Cricetulus griseus: one gene and its partners. The protein of the gene in region 2 purifies or fractionates together with the protein of the main gene of each other region. This does not show direct contact. Links are inferred from orthologs where the notes say so. Each region holds a gene or a part of one and is shown on either strand. Other genes may lie near its edges.

The links.
Region 1: the proteins of Ski (region 2) and Sin3a purify together in Homo sapiens (affinity purification with western blotting; 3 studies listed by BioGRID and IntAct, with this or other methods). This does not show direct contact. The link is inferred for Cricetulus griseus from reciprocal best matches to the Homo sapiens genes SKI and SIN3A.
Region 3: the proteins of Ski (region 2) and Hdac3 purify together in Homo sapiens (affinity purification with western blotting; 4 studies listed by BioGRID and IntAct, with this or other methods). This does not show direct contact. The link is inferred for Cricetulus griseus from reciprocal best matches to the Homo sapiens genes SKI and HDAC3.

What each region holds. Positions count from the first base shown.
Region 1 is NC_048597.1:168,654,590-168,659,168, forward strand, and holds the end of Sin3a (paired amphipathic helix protein Sin3a), read left to right. Parts: intron 1-556; coding exon 557-764; intron 765-2,477; coding exon 2,478-2,708; 3' UTR 2,709-3,500; downstream 3,501-4,579. UniProt on the Homo sapiens protein: Acts as a transcriptional repressor. Corepressor for REST. Interacts with MXI1 to repress MYC responsive genes and antagonize MYC oncogenic activities. Also interacts with MXD1-MAX heterodimers to repress transcription by tethering SIN3A to DNA.
Region 2 is NC_048595.1:1,091,270-1,096,942, forward strand, and holds the start of Ski (ski oncogene), read left to right. Parts: upstream 1-2,312; 5' UTR 2,313-2,510; coding exon 2,511-3,479; intron 3,480-5,673. UniProt on the Homo sapiens protein: May play a role in terminal differentiation of skeletal muscle cells but not in the determination of cells to the myogenic lineage. Functions as a repressor of TGF-beta signaling.
Region 3 is NC_048595.1:199,695,354-199,700,438, forward strand, and holds part of Hdac3 (histone deacetylase 3), read left to right. Parts: intron 1-525; coding exon 526-607; intron 608-742; coding exon 743-799; intron 800-909; coding exon 910-965; intron 966-1,340; coding exon 1,341-1,474; intron 1,475-2,854; coding exon 2,855-2,935; intron 2,936-3,313; coding exon 3,314-3,387; intron 3,388-3,534; coding exon 3,535-3,599; intron 3,600-5,085. UniProt on the Homo sapiens protein: Histone deacetylase that catalyzes the deacetylation of lysine residues on the N-terminal part of the core histones (H2A, H2B, H3 and H4), and some other non-histone substrates.

The DNA of each region.
Region 1 (4,579 bases), on a different chromosome or scaffold from region 2:
ACAAAAAAAAAACAAGAAACAAAACAAAAAAAAGACATAAGATTTCATAAACAATTTGATGACTTTATTGTGTCCATTTTTTATAAAAGTAAAACCAGCTTGTTTGGTGTCCATCCATGGTCAGAAAAGAATACAAAGGTTTCTAAGTGTGGTTTGTAGTATGTAGATACTAATAGGACATCTCTGGGAAAGATAAAAAGTAGACCTTCAAGTAACTTTCTGTTACCTAGTTTAGATGAGGAACTCCAGTTTAGAGGCAATGGGGTAATAAATTGGGATACTTTGCTCTGTAGCTGTTAAAGAGAACAAGACAGATTTGTGTACTGCACTGGAAATAGGTTAAGTGAAAAATGGAGAATAACACATAGTATGATCAAGGCTGAGGCTTCAAGTAATTATATGTATAAAATCAGTGAAAGCATTGCACATTTTTATATATGTGTATCTAAAATCATAGTACGTATTCTTGAGGCACATAAGGAAAGAACATTTGGTAAGAGTCATGGGGATCTGTAGACAGATGGTCTCTCAACCTGAAGGGCTTTCTGCTTTGTAGAAATTTGCGGCGTATCCGAAAGTGTCAGCGTGGTCGAGAGCAACAGGAGAAAGAAGGGAAAGAAGGAAACAGCAAGAAGCCCATGGAAAATGTAGAGAGCCTGGATAAGCTGGAGTGTAGGTTCAAACTGAACTCCTATAAAATGGTATATGTGATCAAGTCGGAGGACTACATGTACCGGAGAACGGCTTTACTCAGAGCTCATCAGGTGAGAACTGGTGGTTGGGATGTCTCTGCATTTCCCAAGTCCTACTGCACTGGCCTGGTATATTTCCCTTTTTAAAAAACCCGTTCCTGGAACAAACAGTTGCTATGTAAGCAGTTGTATTTGCTAAGGATCTCGTAACAGAGTATTATGACTTAAAGGATAAAATTGCTGGGGATATGTAGTTCGTGGTAGAACACTTTCCAGTACACCCAAGGTGGTCTTGGCACTGTCCCCAAATACCTGCTTCCCACACATACAACATCTTGAGGTTCTGAGAAAGACTTAAAACCCCAAGACTTATATGTCAAAATGTGTTGGAATCTATTGAGGCCCCTAAGGGGGAGAATAGCTGTTGCTGCTGTGCTCTTTTAGTATTCCTGGGTGACTCATGGCTTTTCTCTTGTCTGTCTGAATAAATGTCATTTTGAAGGATGGATGTATGGGGTGAAGGCTTCAGAGTATGGGCTATAGTTTAACCTCCAAGAGCTGGTAAACACCTGGTGTTACTTTCTGAAAAAGCTGCTCTGAGTGTTTACCTTTCAGACAGTTTCTCATCTTTTGTTTGTGAGAACTCTGTTTTCAAGGGCTGTCTCACTTGTACTTGCAGCAGGCGCTAGGATACTGCCCCAAACTTGGGCAAATGAGGAAATAAAAGGGTCAAGGAAACCGACATGTGGGATTTCCTTGGTGGCTTCTCTAATACAGGACACCAGAGACCTAAATAACAAGAGTTACATGAGAAGTGTTTTCTATGCAGCAGAAATGTTAGATGACAGACTGGGGAGAAGGAAAGGTATTGGCATATATTGAAAATAAAAACAGTGATTCGGGGCAAGAGCTATAGAGAAAGACATTGTGCAGGTGTGAGGATAGGTGAGGTCACACTAGTCTCAATGGGCCAAGCTTTGAATTTTGTTAGATTTACTGGGGCCCCTTTGTTTACATTTATTTGTTTTGTGTTAATGTTATGTCCTCGTGCTTTTTTGGTTTTTCGAGACAGGGTTTCTCTGTGTAGCTTTGGAGCGTATCCTGGCACTCGCTCTGGAGACCAGGCTGGCCTCGAACTCAGAAAGATCCGCCTGCCTCTGCTTCCCGAGTGCTAAGATTAAAGGCGTGTGCCACCAACGCCCGGCTTGTCCTCCTGCTTTTGTTGAGTCTTCATGGCACAGTGAGAGTGTTGTGGTCAGAGGATAAGCTGTAGGAGTCAGTTCTCTCCATACTGGTTCAGGTGGAATACAGGTCATTATCCTTAGTGTCAGGTACCTTTACCTACTGAGCTATTTTGCCAACCTGCCTTATTTTAATTTTTCTTTTAAAGATAGCACTCTACAGGGCTGAAGAGGTGGCTCAGTGGTTAAGAACACTAGCTGTGTTCTTTCATAGGACCCAGGTTCAATTCTCAGCATCCACATGGCAGCTCACAACTGTCTGTAACTCCAGTTCCAGGGGATCCAGTGCTCTCTTCTGGCTCCACAAATACCAGGCACATGTAGGCAGAATACCCACTGTACTCATAAAGTAAGCCAGGCATGGTGGCATATTTATTTAGTCTCAGCACTCAGGAGGCATAGGCAGGTAGACCTCTTGAGTTTGAGGCCAGCCAGACCTGCATAGTGAGACTCTTTTTAAAATGAATGAATGAATATTGACTTTTGTGTTTGAAGGGTTTGTTTGCCTATTTTATCTTTTCTCTCTCTTTTACTTTGATTTTAGTCCCATGAGCGTGTAAGCAAGCGTCTGCATCAGCGATTCCAGGCCTGGGTAGATAAATGGACCAAGGAGCATGTGCCTCGTGAAATGGCAGCAGAGACCAGCAAGTGGCTCATGGGTGAGGGGCTAGAGGGCCTGGTGCCCTGCACCACCACCTGTGACACAGAGACTCTGCACTTTGTAAGCATTAACAAGTATCGTGTCAAATACGGCACAGTATTCAAAGCCCCTTAACTGCAGAGCCAGCACAGGTAGCTCAGAGGTGTGTGTCTGTGTGTGTGTGTGTGTGTGTGTGTGTGTGTGTGTGTGTGTGTGTGTGTATGTGTGTGTGTAGGCATGTGTACTACACACCGAAGAACAGAGGAAGATGCCTTTCAAGCCACCAGTGCAACCTGGCACCAAGCAGGACCGTGGACAGACACCTTAGAAAGCTGGAACTGGCACTTTTCCCAAGGGTACTAGCCTGCCCAACAGGGAATGAAGTCCATGCAAGCACAGAGAACCGGCAGCTTGCTTGCACACACCAGCAGAGCTCAAGCTAGAACTTCTGTGACCTGACCTTAGACATGCAACCAGATGCTATCACCCTTTGGATGGATGGAGGTGCATTTATAAAACAGATGGACTGTAACTAATGGTCACTACTCCTCTCTCTACCCTGAAGAGGCTGCAGGGAGACTGCATTTGATGACCACATCTCCACTTGAGCACATCTACGATCCCCTGTTAGAGTTTGTCTGAGACCTGCTGTTTGGCTTTGGGATTGATACCTTGTGGATTTGGTTTCTGAGCCGTTGCAGCCCACCTTCCTCCGTCTTCTGGTTCTCAGCCTCACCAAATTCCAGCCAGTCCTCTTTTGGCCCCCGTGGACTGTTTTGTACCTGCTTCTTACTGGTCTGCCCTAGTGCCATCCACCAGCTTCACTCACACACAGACACACACATTTTAACTTGGATTTTCTTTTTTGTAAATAATGTATATACTGTCAATTTTTTATTAAAGGAAATATGCTTTGATGTGCTAGCATAAGTGCTCTAGCTTCTTGTGTACCATAGGACTATGTGGCTTCAGATTTAGTACTTATAAAGAGATGTACAAGACATTTATTACACTTTTTACCAAAGGGAGATACCATTGTAGTACTTTTATGTAAAACTTGTCTCCTCCCCCCCCCTTTTCTTTTCCTTTCCTTTTTTTATGTAAATAAAGCTTGGTTCTTAAGGAAATCCGTAACCCAAGTCCCTTGTCCTCCACCAGAGAGCTATTGTTAAATAGGGACTGGCTTTAGTTTCTTTTCCAGGTTACAAATAGGATTTGGCTGTAAATAAATAGGTATTTGCACTTGTCAAATCAACATATATCAGAAGATGGTAAAAGTGCTTGCCACACAAGCCTGACAACCTGAATGATCTCTGGACCCCACAGTGGAAAGGGAAAGGTGACTCCCAAAGTGGTCCTTTGGCCTCCACAAGTGACCTCTGATACTTGAGTACCTTCATTCTAGTGCACTCAGGCACAGGCACTCCTAGGGGTTTTGTTTTTCCCTCACATTTCTAATTTTCCTTACTGGGAATGAGGCAACAACTCAAGATACCAAGCCAGAATAAATGTTGTGTCTAGTTGGAAGGGAATGGATTGGATATACTGCTTAGCAATAGTAAAAGAAAATGCAGTAATACAGGCCTTTAATCTCAGCACTCAGAGGCAAACAGAGTTCTGTGAGTCCAGGGCTACAGAGAGACCCTGTCTCAAAAAATGAAATAAAAAAAAAAATACACTTATTTTTGTGTATATACTTGCACGTGTGTGCATATGCAGAACAACTTGGAGTCAGTTCTAGGAATGGATCTCAGGTTGTTGGGCTTGGCTGCAAATATTTATTTATCTGTGCTGCTTGTCGCCTACACCAGTCTGTGTAGTCTCCACTTTTTAAGTTACATAAATTGACACATGAGTCTTAGGGATCTTCTAATATGGTTGACCTGGACCTGCTGAACAACAACGAACTAACCCTCATAGTTATATTTTCTGGTTAAAAATCCCTGGTACCTGGGCCAATGAGATAGCTCAGCTGGTTAAGGTTCTTGCCATTAAGCCTAAAGACC
Region 2 (5,673 bases):
TGGTTTGTGCCTGTTCTGGTCTTACCCAGGAGGTGAGAAACAGGTCACAAGCTGGAGGTAACCCAGGCTGCCCTGTGCATGCATGGCCTTCTGACTTTCACCAACCAGGAAGGGCCTGTGCCCAGGACAGTTTGAGGTCTGGGTCTTTTGCAGGAGAGGCTCGGGGCAGGGGTGGGGTGGGGGTGCAGGGATTTCCCATTTCTTTACTTACACTGCCCTTTAGGCTCTGGTTTTGAATTCCCGTGCCTGGCCTTCAGCTCTACGTTAGCTAATTTGGGTGTTGCTCGGCAAAAGACTGTCCTATGTTGATTCCATTGTACAACCAATACATTGAAGGGCAGGCGGTGTTGTCTTACTCTGGCCATAATCTGGACACCTGATGTGCAGGTGTATATTTAGTTCTCGGTCCTGGAGGCTGAAGGGTAAGGGTCACAGCAGCTGCCAGCCTGAGAATCACAGGAATCTGCTGCCCAAGTTACTGGCTAATGGGTGGCTCAAGAAGGGGCAATAGCTGCTAGTCACAGCTTCTTCAATGCAGACTTGTGTCCTAAAGTCCCCGTCTCACAGAACAGGGTCCACTAGACAGGAGCTACTACTGGTGGTTGTCACAGTTCATGGGGTGGTGGATTTTGCCTGCCGGTGACCCAGGGACTTTCCACAACTATGCCTCCTCTGCATCTTGGCATCCCTAGGTCATGGATGCTGTGAGCTTCTAGGTTCTGCAATTCTGGCTGTGTGGCGCTTGGGTGTGGGAGCTCTGTGTATTAGGTGGCATCAGTACTACACATGGAAACCCAGATGTGCTTTGGGCAGTCCTTCTGCACCGGAGGCCTTTGAGAAGAATCACCGGGTGATTCTTTGAGAGGTTCCGGTTGTATGGGCACCTGGATTTTTTTTTTTTTTCTCTCTCTCGTATCTTCTCATCATAAGGACAGCCTGTCCTGAGTATTTCGTGGTGTCCTTATGCAGGGACCTGGAATGCATGCTGTGGTGTCCTTATCATAGGGGGCCAGGCACTTCGGTCGTGTGGAGACGCTAGGGTGCTTTGAGACGCTCTTGTATCCAGACCCCAATGTTTTGTGGCATCCTTGTCATGAGGGGGCACCTGGGGTCCTTTTTATGAGTGCAAACTCTGGGGTGTCGCGTGGCGTCCCGGTCCTGTAGAGAACGACGCCCAGCAGTATGGGGAGTGGAGGCTATTTCCCAGTTATCTCCGTAGAATGGGGACCCCGGGACCTAAGGAGGCAGCGGCGCAGATCTACTGCGGACCGCCACTCAGCTGGTCTGCGGTTGTGGCAGGGGCCTTGTGGGTTTCGGGGCCCCAAGACCGTGGTGTCAGCAGGACCGGAGACTTCCCAGCCGCGCAGGAAGCGGCCTCGGCCGGAAGGGGGGCCCCAGGCGCCTCGCTGCAGCCGCCTCCAGCGGCCTTCACAAGGCGGGGCCGAGCGGGACCGAGTAGGGCCGAGTGGGGCCGAGCGGGGCCGAGCGGGGCCGAGCGGGGCCGAGCTCCGGCCCGGGGGACCCGAGCGGAGTCGAACTGTGGGCGGACGGAGCCGAGCTTGGCCGAGTACGGGCCGGGCGTAGCCGAGCGCCACCGAGCCCGGGAGGGGGAGCGCGCGTTCTTGGAAGAGCCGGCCCGAAGCTGGTCACATTCCTGGCCCTCACTCCGGCTGAGGCGGACGCACAGCAACAAACAACGCGGGAGGCGGGGCCGGCGCGGGCGGGGCGGGGGTACGGGGCGGGGCGCGCGGCGGCGTGAGCTCAGCTCCCGGCGCTCAGTCCGAGCCGGAGCGAGCCGCCCGAAAGATGTGCGCCGAGCGCGCCGAGCCCCGCGCCGCCGCCGCGCTCTGAGCCGCGGGCTAGAGCGCCTCCGCCGCCCCGGGGCCGGCGCGCGCGGGCGCGGGCGGCCGGGAGCCGGGCGGCCGCGCGGGCGGGCAGGCGGCGGGGGCCAGCGGCGGGCGCGACGCGGCCGGCCAGCACCGCGGGACGAGCCCGAGGGCGCCGCGCGGTGGGAGGAGCGGGGCAGCGCGGCCGCGCCGCGCGAGGACGGCCCGGCGGGCCCCGCGCCCGCGCCCCCGCTCTCCCCGGCCCCTCGGCTCGGCCGCCGCGGCGATTCGCGCCTCGCGGCCGGCACCTGCCGCGCGCGCCCCGCGAGCGCCCGGGCCGCGAGCGTTGGCGTTGGCGTTGGCGGCGCGCGCCGGGGCATGCCGCGCCTAGAGCCGCGGGGGGCGCGCGGGGGGCCGGGGCGGCGGCGGCGGCGGCGCGGCGCGGGGCGCGTGATGTGGCGCCGGGCCCGGGTGGCGGCGGGCTCCAGCGGCGGGACCCCTTCGCCCGCCCGCCTTCGCCTTCGCGCGCCCCGGGCGAGGCCGAGGCCGGGGCCGTGATCGGCCGTGAGCCGGCGACGGGGGGCGTCGGGGCCGCGGTCGCGGTCGGCGGCGGGGTGCGCGGGGCGGCGGCGAGGCCGTGGGGGCCCGGGCGCACGGGAGCGGCCCGGGGAGCCCGATCGCACCATGGAAGCGGCGGCGGCCGGCCGGGGCGGCTTCCAGCCGCACCCGGGGTTGCAGAAGACGTTGGAGCAGTTCCACCTGAGCTCCATGAGCTCGCTGGGCGGCCCGGCCGCTTTCTCGGCGCGCTGGGCGCAGGAGGCCTACAAGAAGGAGAGCGCCAAGGAGGCGGGCGCGGCCACGGTGCCGGCGCCGGTGCCCACTGCCGCGGAGCCGCCGCCCGTGCTGCACCTGCCTGCCATCCAGCCGCCGCCGCCCGTACTGCCCGGGCCCTTCTTCATGCCGTCGGATCGCTCCACCGAGCGCTGTGAGACCGTGCTGGAAGGGGAGACCATCTCTTGTTTCGTAGTGGGAGGCGAGAAGCGTCTGTGCTTGCCGCAGATCCTCAACTCGGTGCTGCGCGACTTCTCACTGCAGCAGATCAACTCGGTGTGCGATGAGCTGCACATCTACTGCTCGCGCTGCACCGCCGACCAGCTGGAGATCCTCAAAGTCATGGGCATCCTGCCCTTCTCCGCGCCCTCGTGCGGGCTCATCACCAAGACGGACGCCGAGCGCCTGTGTAACGCGCTGCTCTACGGCGGCGCCTACCCGCCGCCTTGCAAGAAGGAGCTGGCGGCCAGCCTGGCGCTGGGCCTGGAGCTCAGCGAGCGCAGCGTCCGCGTGTACCACGAGTGCTTCGGCAAGTGCAAGGGGCTGCTGGTGCCCGAGCTGTACAGCAGTCCTAGCGCCGCCTGCATCCAGTGCCTCGACTGCCGCCTCATGTACCCGCCGCACAAGTTCGTGGTACACTCGCACAAGGCCCTGGAGAACCGGACCTGCCACTGGGGCTTCGACTCAGCCAACTGGCGGGCCTACATCCTGCTGAGCCAGGACTACACAGGCAAGGAGGAGCAGGCCCGCCTTGGCCGCTGCCTGGACGACGTGAAGGAGAAGTTCGACTATGCCAACAAGTACAAGCGGAGGGTGCCCCGGGTAAGTGTCTCCAGGTCTTGGGGGTTGGCAAGCCATTTGTCCAAGGAGGGGAGGCGGTGGTCCTCTTGGGCTGGGCACTCTGGCTTCTAAATGTTGGGGCACCTGGTTCGACCTTATTTGGCTTTGGGTTGTTTTGATTTCAGGAAATTAGGGGCCTAGTTAGTCTCCTGTGGGTAAGGCCATAAGGCCGCCTTGGTGCTGTCTGAGCACTGTAGAGTGAATGGAAAAAAGCCCTCTCAGGACACATAGCCCTTGACCACATAGGCTACGCTCTGAAGGTCTGAGAAAGGCTGCCTCAAGCTCTGGGAGCTTGGACTTCCTGAAGAGAAAGAACCCAGGCTATGACTTTATGGCCCAGATCTCCATGGGATCTTGACAGATGAGAATGAAGTTTGCCCCCTTTTTTTCTGATGACAGGGATGTCTTCTTGTGGTTTCCAGCTGATACGCCTTGTATGTTTACTGGCTCTCTTGTTTTGTGTTTAAATCATGGGGCAAAGACACTAAAATGAAGCTAGCTAGTTGTCCTGGCAGAGACTTGGCACTTGCAGCCCCTAGAGTCTCCTGTTGGTGCACCTTGAGGACCACTTGGCCTGGTCAATGGTAGCAGAGTCTTGCTTCTCTGACTCAGAGTTGCTGATAGTATGCAGTTTCTTTAGACTCACCCATTTCCTTCTGTTGCTCTTGCACTTGGTGTGGAGGCCTGCCTGCCTAGGCTGTGCCGTGTGTGCGTCACGGGCTTTGTGGGATCTTCTTGGCATGACCCTGGCCACTTAGTACCAAAACCTTTCACTGGGGTCCAGAGGAAGTTTCTTTGCATATGCATCCTAAGTATCTGTAACTTTTAAATATCCCTGCTTATTAAATTGCACACACAGAATGCTGCATTGGCTCAGCTATTCTTGGGAGACCTAATTAATTCAGCTATTGCATCAAACTTTTTTTTTTTTTTCTAAATCTGTGAATAGATGCTGCAGCCCGGTTTTCTCTGGGCGCCCCTCCAGCAGAGTGTCAGAATCGTGGGGGGAAGGGGCTCTGAAGAAGGACCGTTGCCTAATTCTTTGGGGGCTGCAGAGAGTGTGCACATACTGTGTGTCCTATGGCACTTTTGCCCCAGCTAGGGCAGTGCATGATGGCAGGCGGTTGCAGGCGGGTCTTTTCAAGTGGACTTGGCAGTAGGCAGGCTGATGTGGGTCCTACCAGTGGAGGCCTATCTGGGCTGTCTGCACCCTTGTCAGCTAATGTAGCCTGAGGTAGTCATTTGAATATAGCGACTGGTGGACTTGCTGGGGCTACTGTAGAGATGTGGGACTAGTGAGGATGAGCCACTGGGAAGCATTCACACCTCTTATCTTGGGAGCAGGCAAGGAGTCTTGTCTGAGTTGGGTGTGTCTGTGTTTGTGTTTGTCTGCTTTGGGTCATGTGTGTTTGTGGTCTTTCTATCCAGGTTTAGGGGACTGCCATGGTCCCTTTGTCCCGGCCACTATTGAATGGAGTAGACTTCTGCCTTCTCTGTTTACAAGCTTGGTGATTCTGGTGTGGGGTCTTTGGGCTCAGAGGAGGTGGCTCAGATGCTCGTGCCAGCACTATGGGGTTAGAAGACAGGATAGTGCACTGAGCCATGGTCATGTGCCTGGGTCGTTTCCGCCGTGGTTTGTAGCTGCCCTTCCCTTGATAGCCACCCTGGCAATGGTCTGACGCCTCATCTGCTGAGTGAAGAGACATTTCTCGAGTGATTTGTGTCTCCAGCACCACTGAAGCAGTGGTGGCATCAGCTTGGGTTCCTATACTTTGGCCAGCTCCTGAGTGCTTACATGACGAGGGACTAGTGGGGCTGTTTCCCGTTTGTGGGGTGCTCCCAGCCCCTGGGTGATCCCAGTGCAGCCATCAGTGTTGCTGCTTCATTGACTGTGAGCTTGTAATTAGGGTTTGGTCTGGACTGTGCTCTTTAGTCCCTATTGGACGTTGTGAGCTTATCTGCATGAACTGTGGGTAACACCCAGCAGGAAGGGGCTGTCAGTCTGGGTAGTTATGGACCCATGGCTGCCCAAACTTAGCTTGTCCTGAGGGGAGCGGCCTGAATGCTAGGATTCCCTCACTCCCTTCAAAGCTTATTTTAATAGTTTTGGTCAACTGAGGAGGAGGGCACAAGGAACAAAGATGTGCTGAACCATTTTGTAGGGCAGTGTAGCCTT
Region 3 (5,085 bases), about 200 Mb from region 2:
TCTGCCTTACATGTGCTAGTATGAAAGGCATGTGCCACCATGCCCAGCTATGGTGTTTATCCTTACATTTCAAATTAATAAAATTACTGTTGCTATTTCTACTAATCTGTAATATTTAGATAATACCTACTATGTGCTAAGTACTGTTTTAAATCCTTTGCTGCCATTTTCTCAATAGCAACAACCCCTTATCAAACAGGGTTTACTATAGGCTCTTTTGTACAGATAAGGGTATCAAGATACAGATGGTTAAACATCTTGTCTGCCCAAGAACCTAGAAGCAGTGTGCTTTGCTTGCCAGGTAGGATACAAACTCCCTGCAGTTGAACATTTTTATGATTCCTGTATCATGTTTTGTATGAGGCTTTGCACAAGAGTTGGCCCAAAATCTTTGTTGAACAAATCTGAAGATGGCTCAGATGTGGAGGACGAGAAGGAAGCTTTTAGAGGGCGGTAATTGGAGTTTGAGTGGGGAAGGAGGTGGACAATAGCAAGAGGGGTGTAACCCCACTCTCTTTCCTGCAGCCCAGTGTTTCCCGGGCTCTTTGAGTTCTGCTCCCGTTACACAGGCGCATCTCTTCAAGGAGCAACACAGCTGAACAACAAGGTAATGTAGCTCCTAGTCAGTAGTCCTGGTCCTGTTTCCTGTGGTTCTCTAGATTCAGGACCATATATAACCTTGACATGGAATCTGGCTTCAGTGGTAGGCAGGAAGAAGATTGAATGGGTATTTGTCTTTCAGATCTGTGATATTGCCATCAACTGGGCTGGTGGTCTACACCATGCCAAGAAGTTTGAGGTAAGTCTGCAGTGGGGAAGACTGGCTACCATAGGTTAGGTGGTCAGAATGACTGTTGGGGTAGCTGGGTGGAAGAATTGTTCCTCTGCTTATAAAACTATCTCCCACAGGCCTCTGGTTTCTGCTATGTTAATGACATTGTAATTGGTATCCTGGAGCTGCTCAAGTAAGTACTCCAGGAGGAAAAGGGGAGACTTTGGAGACTGGGATGAAGTCCCTCAGGCCCTGGCCCCAGCCCTGCCCTCCTTCTCCACCGGCTTCTCCAAGTCTGTGATGCTTTTCTCAGATGGCTTCTAGGCCCCACAGGCTAGGCCCCACAGTTTGTCCCCTGCTGCCCGCTCACATTCCAGCTTCCTCTGCATAACCCTTTTCTTTATCTCTGGCCTTTAGGGTGAAGGCCTGGGTTGCCTGGAGGAAACTTGGTGGGATGAGTCTTCAAATGACTCTGCCAGAAGTAGACTCTAAACAATTCCAGAGCTTGTGTTGGGGAGAAGATGGGGAATTCACTCCTTCCCATACCATGGCTTTGTTCTCACACCAGGTACCACCCTCGGGTGCTCTACATTGATATCGACATCCACCATGGTGATGGGGTCCAGGAAGCCTTCTACCTCACTGACCGGGTCATGACTGTGTCATTCCACAAATATGGAAATTACTTCTTTCCTGGAACTGGTAGGGCATAGGATCACTGTGCTTTTTGTACCCCCCTTAGCTTTTTGTGTGTGCTTTGAGACAGGGTCTTGCTCTATAGCCCAGGCTAGCCTTCAACTCAGAATCCTCTATAATCAGCATCCTGAATGATGGGATTACAGGTATGTGCCACTGTACTTGGCTGTCCTTTTTCTTTTTGCCATGACTGACTCCTTAGCCTTCTGTTCTTAAGTATTATGTGCTCTCCTCAGAGAAGCCTTTCTGATCACTCCATTAAGTTAAATAAACAGGTACCAAGCCCTGTCTCTTTTTCTCAAGAGTACTTACTCACTGCTAGTTACATTTATTGTGTTTTTTTGTTCATTCTTTGTCTTAGTCACTATTCTATGTGTGACAAGAAACCACAGCCAAGGCAACTCTTATGAAAGAAAGTATTTAAATGGGGGCTGGCTTACAGTTTCAGAGGTTTAGTCCATTGTCATCATAATGGCTAGCATGGCAGCCTGCAGGCAGGCTGTGCCGCAGTAGTGAAGAGCTACATCCTGACCATAGGCAGAGACACTCTGGACTTGGCTTGGACTTTTGGAATCTCAGAGCCCACCCACCTCCTCCCCTGTGATGTCTCAAACAAGGCTACTTCCTAATCCTTCTCCAGCAGTGCCACTCACTGATGACTAAGCATTCAAATTGCCTACGAGGGTCATTCTTATTCAAACCACTACATTCTCCTTCTTTATCATGTATCCCAAAAGTATGGGCTTGGTGGAATTTCATTAGGTCTATTCATTGCTATATCCCCTATGCCTTCTACACATCTTAGCACACAGTACTTCCTCAGAAATATTTGTTGAAATGAATGTGATGGCATATGCCTGTTTTCCCAGTAGGCAGGCTCAGGTGGGACGGTTGTTTTAAGTTTGAGGCCAGTCTTGGATATATAGCTAGATTCTGTCTCAAAGGGGAAAAAAAAAGGAAAGAAAGAAGGGAGGAAGGAAGGAAGGTGGGGGGTGGGATGACTGGAGAGATGACTCAGCTGTTATGAGCATTTCCTACCCTTGCAGAGGAATCAGGTTCTGTTCCCAGCACCCACATGGCAGCTCACTGTCTGTAACTCCCAATTCCAGGAGATCTGATGCCCTCTTCTGACCTCCATGGACACCAGGCATGAACCAGGCAGGAAGACACATACCTGTAATCCCAGCATTCAGCAGGCTGAGGCAGGGGGGAATGAGAGTTCAAAGCTAGCCTGAGCAACATAGGTTCCTAGCCAGCCTGGGTTATATAGGTGTTACCCTGTATTGAATGAATGCAAGTTGCTGGAGCCTTAGAGAGCATGTGGTAGAGGGCACAGAAGGAACAGTTGTGTTACTGTTTATGACTGCTGGACCCACTTATCTATAGGTGACATGTATGAAGTTGGAGCAGAGAGTGGCCGCTACTATTGTCTCAATGTGCCCTTACGGGATGGCATCGATGACCAGAGTAAGTACTGATGACTTCCCCATGCTCACTTTCCCCCTTTTTCACTTTCATTAACCTCTTCTACCTGGTATTGTCTATTGTTGGGCCAGGTGTCCTTAAGGATGAATGTCCTTCAGAGGGACCATGAACCCCTGGAATTTGTATGCAATATATTATGCGCATCTGTGTTTTTATTTATTTATTAGTTTTTCTGGGAAGAAGTTTGTTAGTGTTCATCATAGCAGGTTGTGATACCTTCCAGAAGTTCAGAACCAATGGTTGGTTCTGTAGTTTTCCCCTTTCCTGGGCTACATGCTCTCTCAAACCCCTTTTTCCTTTTGTTCCCTGTCTCCCCATCTCCTTGGGGTGCCAGGTTGCCCATCTTTGGCCCTCTCCCAGGTTACAAGCACCTCTTCCAGCCAGTCATCAGCCAGGTGGTGGACTTCTACCAACCTACATGCATCGTGCTTCAGGTAACAGTGTTAGCACCTCCCTGGAGGGCTTACCTGGGCTTGAGGAAAGAGATCAGGGAAGAATAAGTTCCCCAAATTGGTGAGGGAGGGACAGTGGTTTTCTGATCTTCCATGTTACCGCAGCATCTGGGTTTTTCTTTTTTTCAGTGTGGAGCTGATTCCCTAGGCTGTGATCGATTAGGCTGTTTTAATCTCAGCATACGAGGACATGGGTGAGAACTGCCTTCCTTCTTGTTCTGTCAGACCCCCGAAAACTCAAGTATCCGGGGTCCCAGGCCAGGTTCGCGGTCACCCCAATCACCAGGCGGATTCGAGAGCTTGCTGCAAACTGCACGAGGCTTTATTGTAATTTAACGAACTAACCCCATGTTAGCTCGGGTCTTTCACCCACCCGCCATGGCGGACGGCTAGAAAAGACGGCTCCTTGGGTCTCCCAAAAGATCTTATAGGGCAGCGTAAGGGGAGTGTCTAGGGGTACGCACAGGCTTACGCACAGGCTCACGATTGGTGTGCTTCCAGGCTTGGAGGGCTTGCCCTGTGTTGGTCAATTATGGCCCATAGGCCCTCCCAGGGTAGTTGCTATGCTCTCTACGTCATTGTCGTGCGCTTGTCCGTAAAGCACACCCAGGGTCGTAAAGCATAGCGCCACCAGCTAACTTCTGATTGGTTCCTTGTCACAAGACAGGCATCTGACCTCTAATTGACTAAGATTCCTTGTCACGAGACAGGCATCTGACCTCTAAGTGACCAAGGCAGGTTTATGGCAAGCACGTGTTCGGCTGTTATGGCTGCCAAAAGGGAAGCCGGTTCCTTCAGTTCTTGTTGTTTTTACTTAAAGTTGTATTTCATCATCATCACTATTAATTATTATGCGTGTATGTGTACATCCTTGACCATACATAAATACACATACAAACAAAACATAACAAAAGTCCAATGAAGGAAAAATAACAAGACAAGGTAATAACAGGGAATCTACTTTTTGATTATACTTTTTTTTTTTTTTTTAAGATCTCGATGTGTGGCATGGGCTGACTTTGAACTTGTGATCTTTCTGTCTTAGCCTCCTAAATTACAAGCTCAGGTCACCACACCTGGCTTGGGAATTTACTATAGGCAGCATGCTTTGGGAAGGGTTTTCTGAAAGGGTCAAATGAGAGCTGAGACCTGGAGACTAAGAGGATGAGCCATAAAAGAAAAACAGAGAATCCTGCTCCAAGCAGTGAGAAGGGCTAGTGGAAAGCCCTAAGATGAAAAGGAGCTGCTGTCTTGATGAGGAAATAAAAGCAGTGAGGTCAGAACACAGGGAAGTGCTGAAAGCTGGCCAGATTGAGTTTGTGCAGAACTATTAGACCCTATCATTCCATGGGTGGTGGAAAACTGTGGAAGGAGTTTAAACAGGGAAGTGACATGGACCGGTGAGTTTGAAGGTGATTGATTGTTCTGACTGCTAAATGGAAAAAAGTTTTGGGGTGAGAATTGGGGCACAGGACGGTAGTGAGAAGCCAGTTAGGAAGCCATTAACATTGTTTAGACAGGGGATGTGGTGACGGAGAGAAGTAGGGGGTTTGAAAATGTATGCTGAAGACTAGAATGGACAGTCTGGCTGAGACACTGATGAGAGTAGTTGAATAGCAGGTAAGGTGCCAGGCAGAGTAGTAAGCAAGACTGAGCATGTGCTTTACTTTAAAATATTTA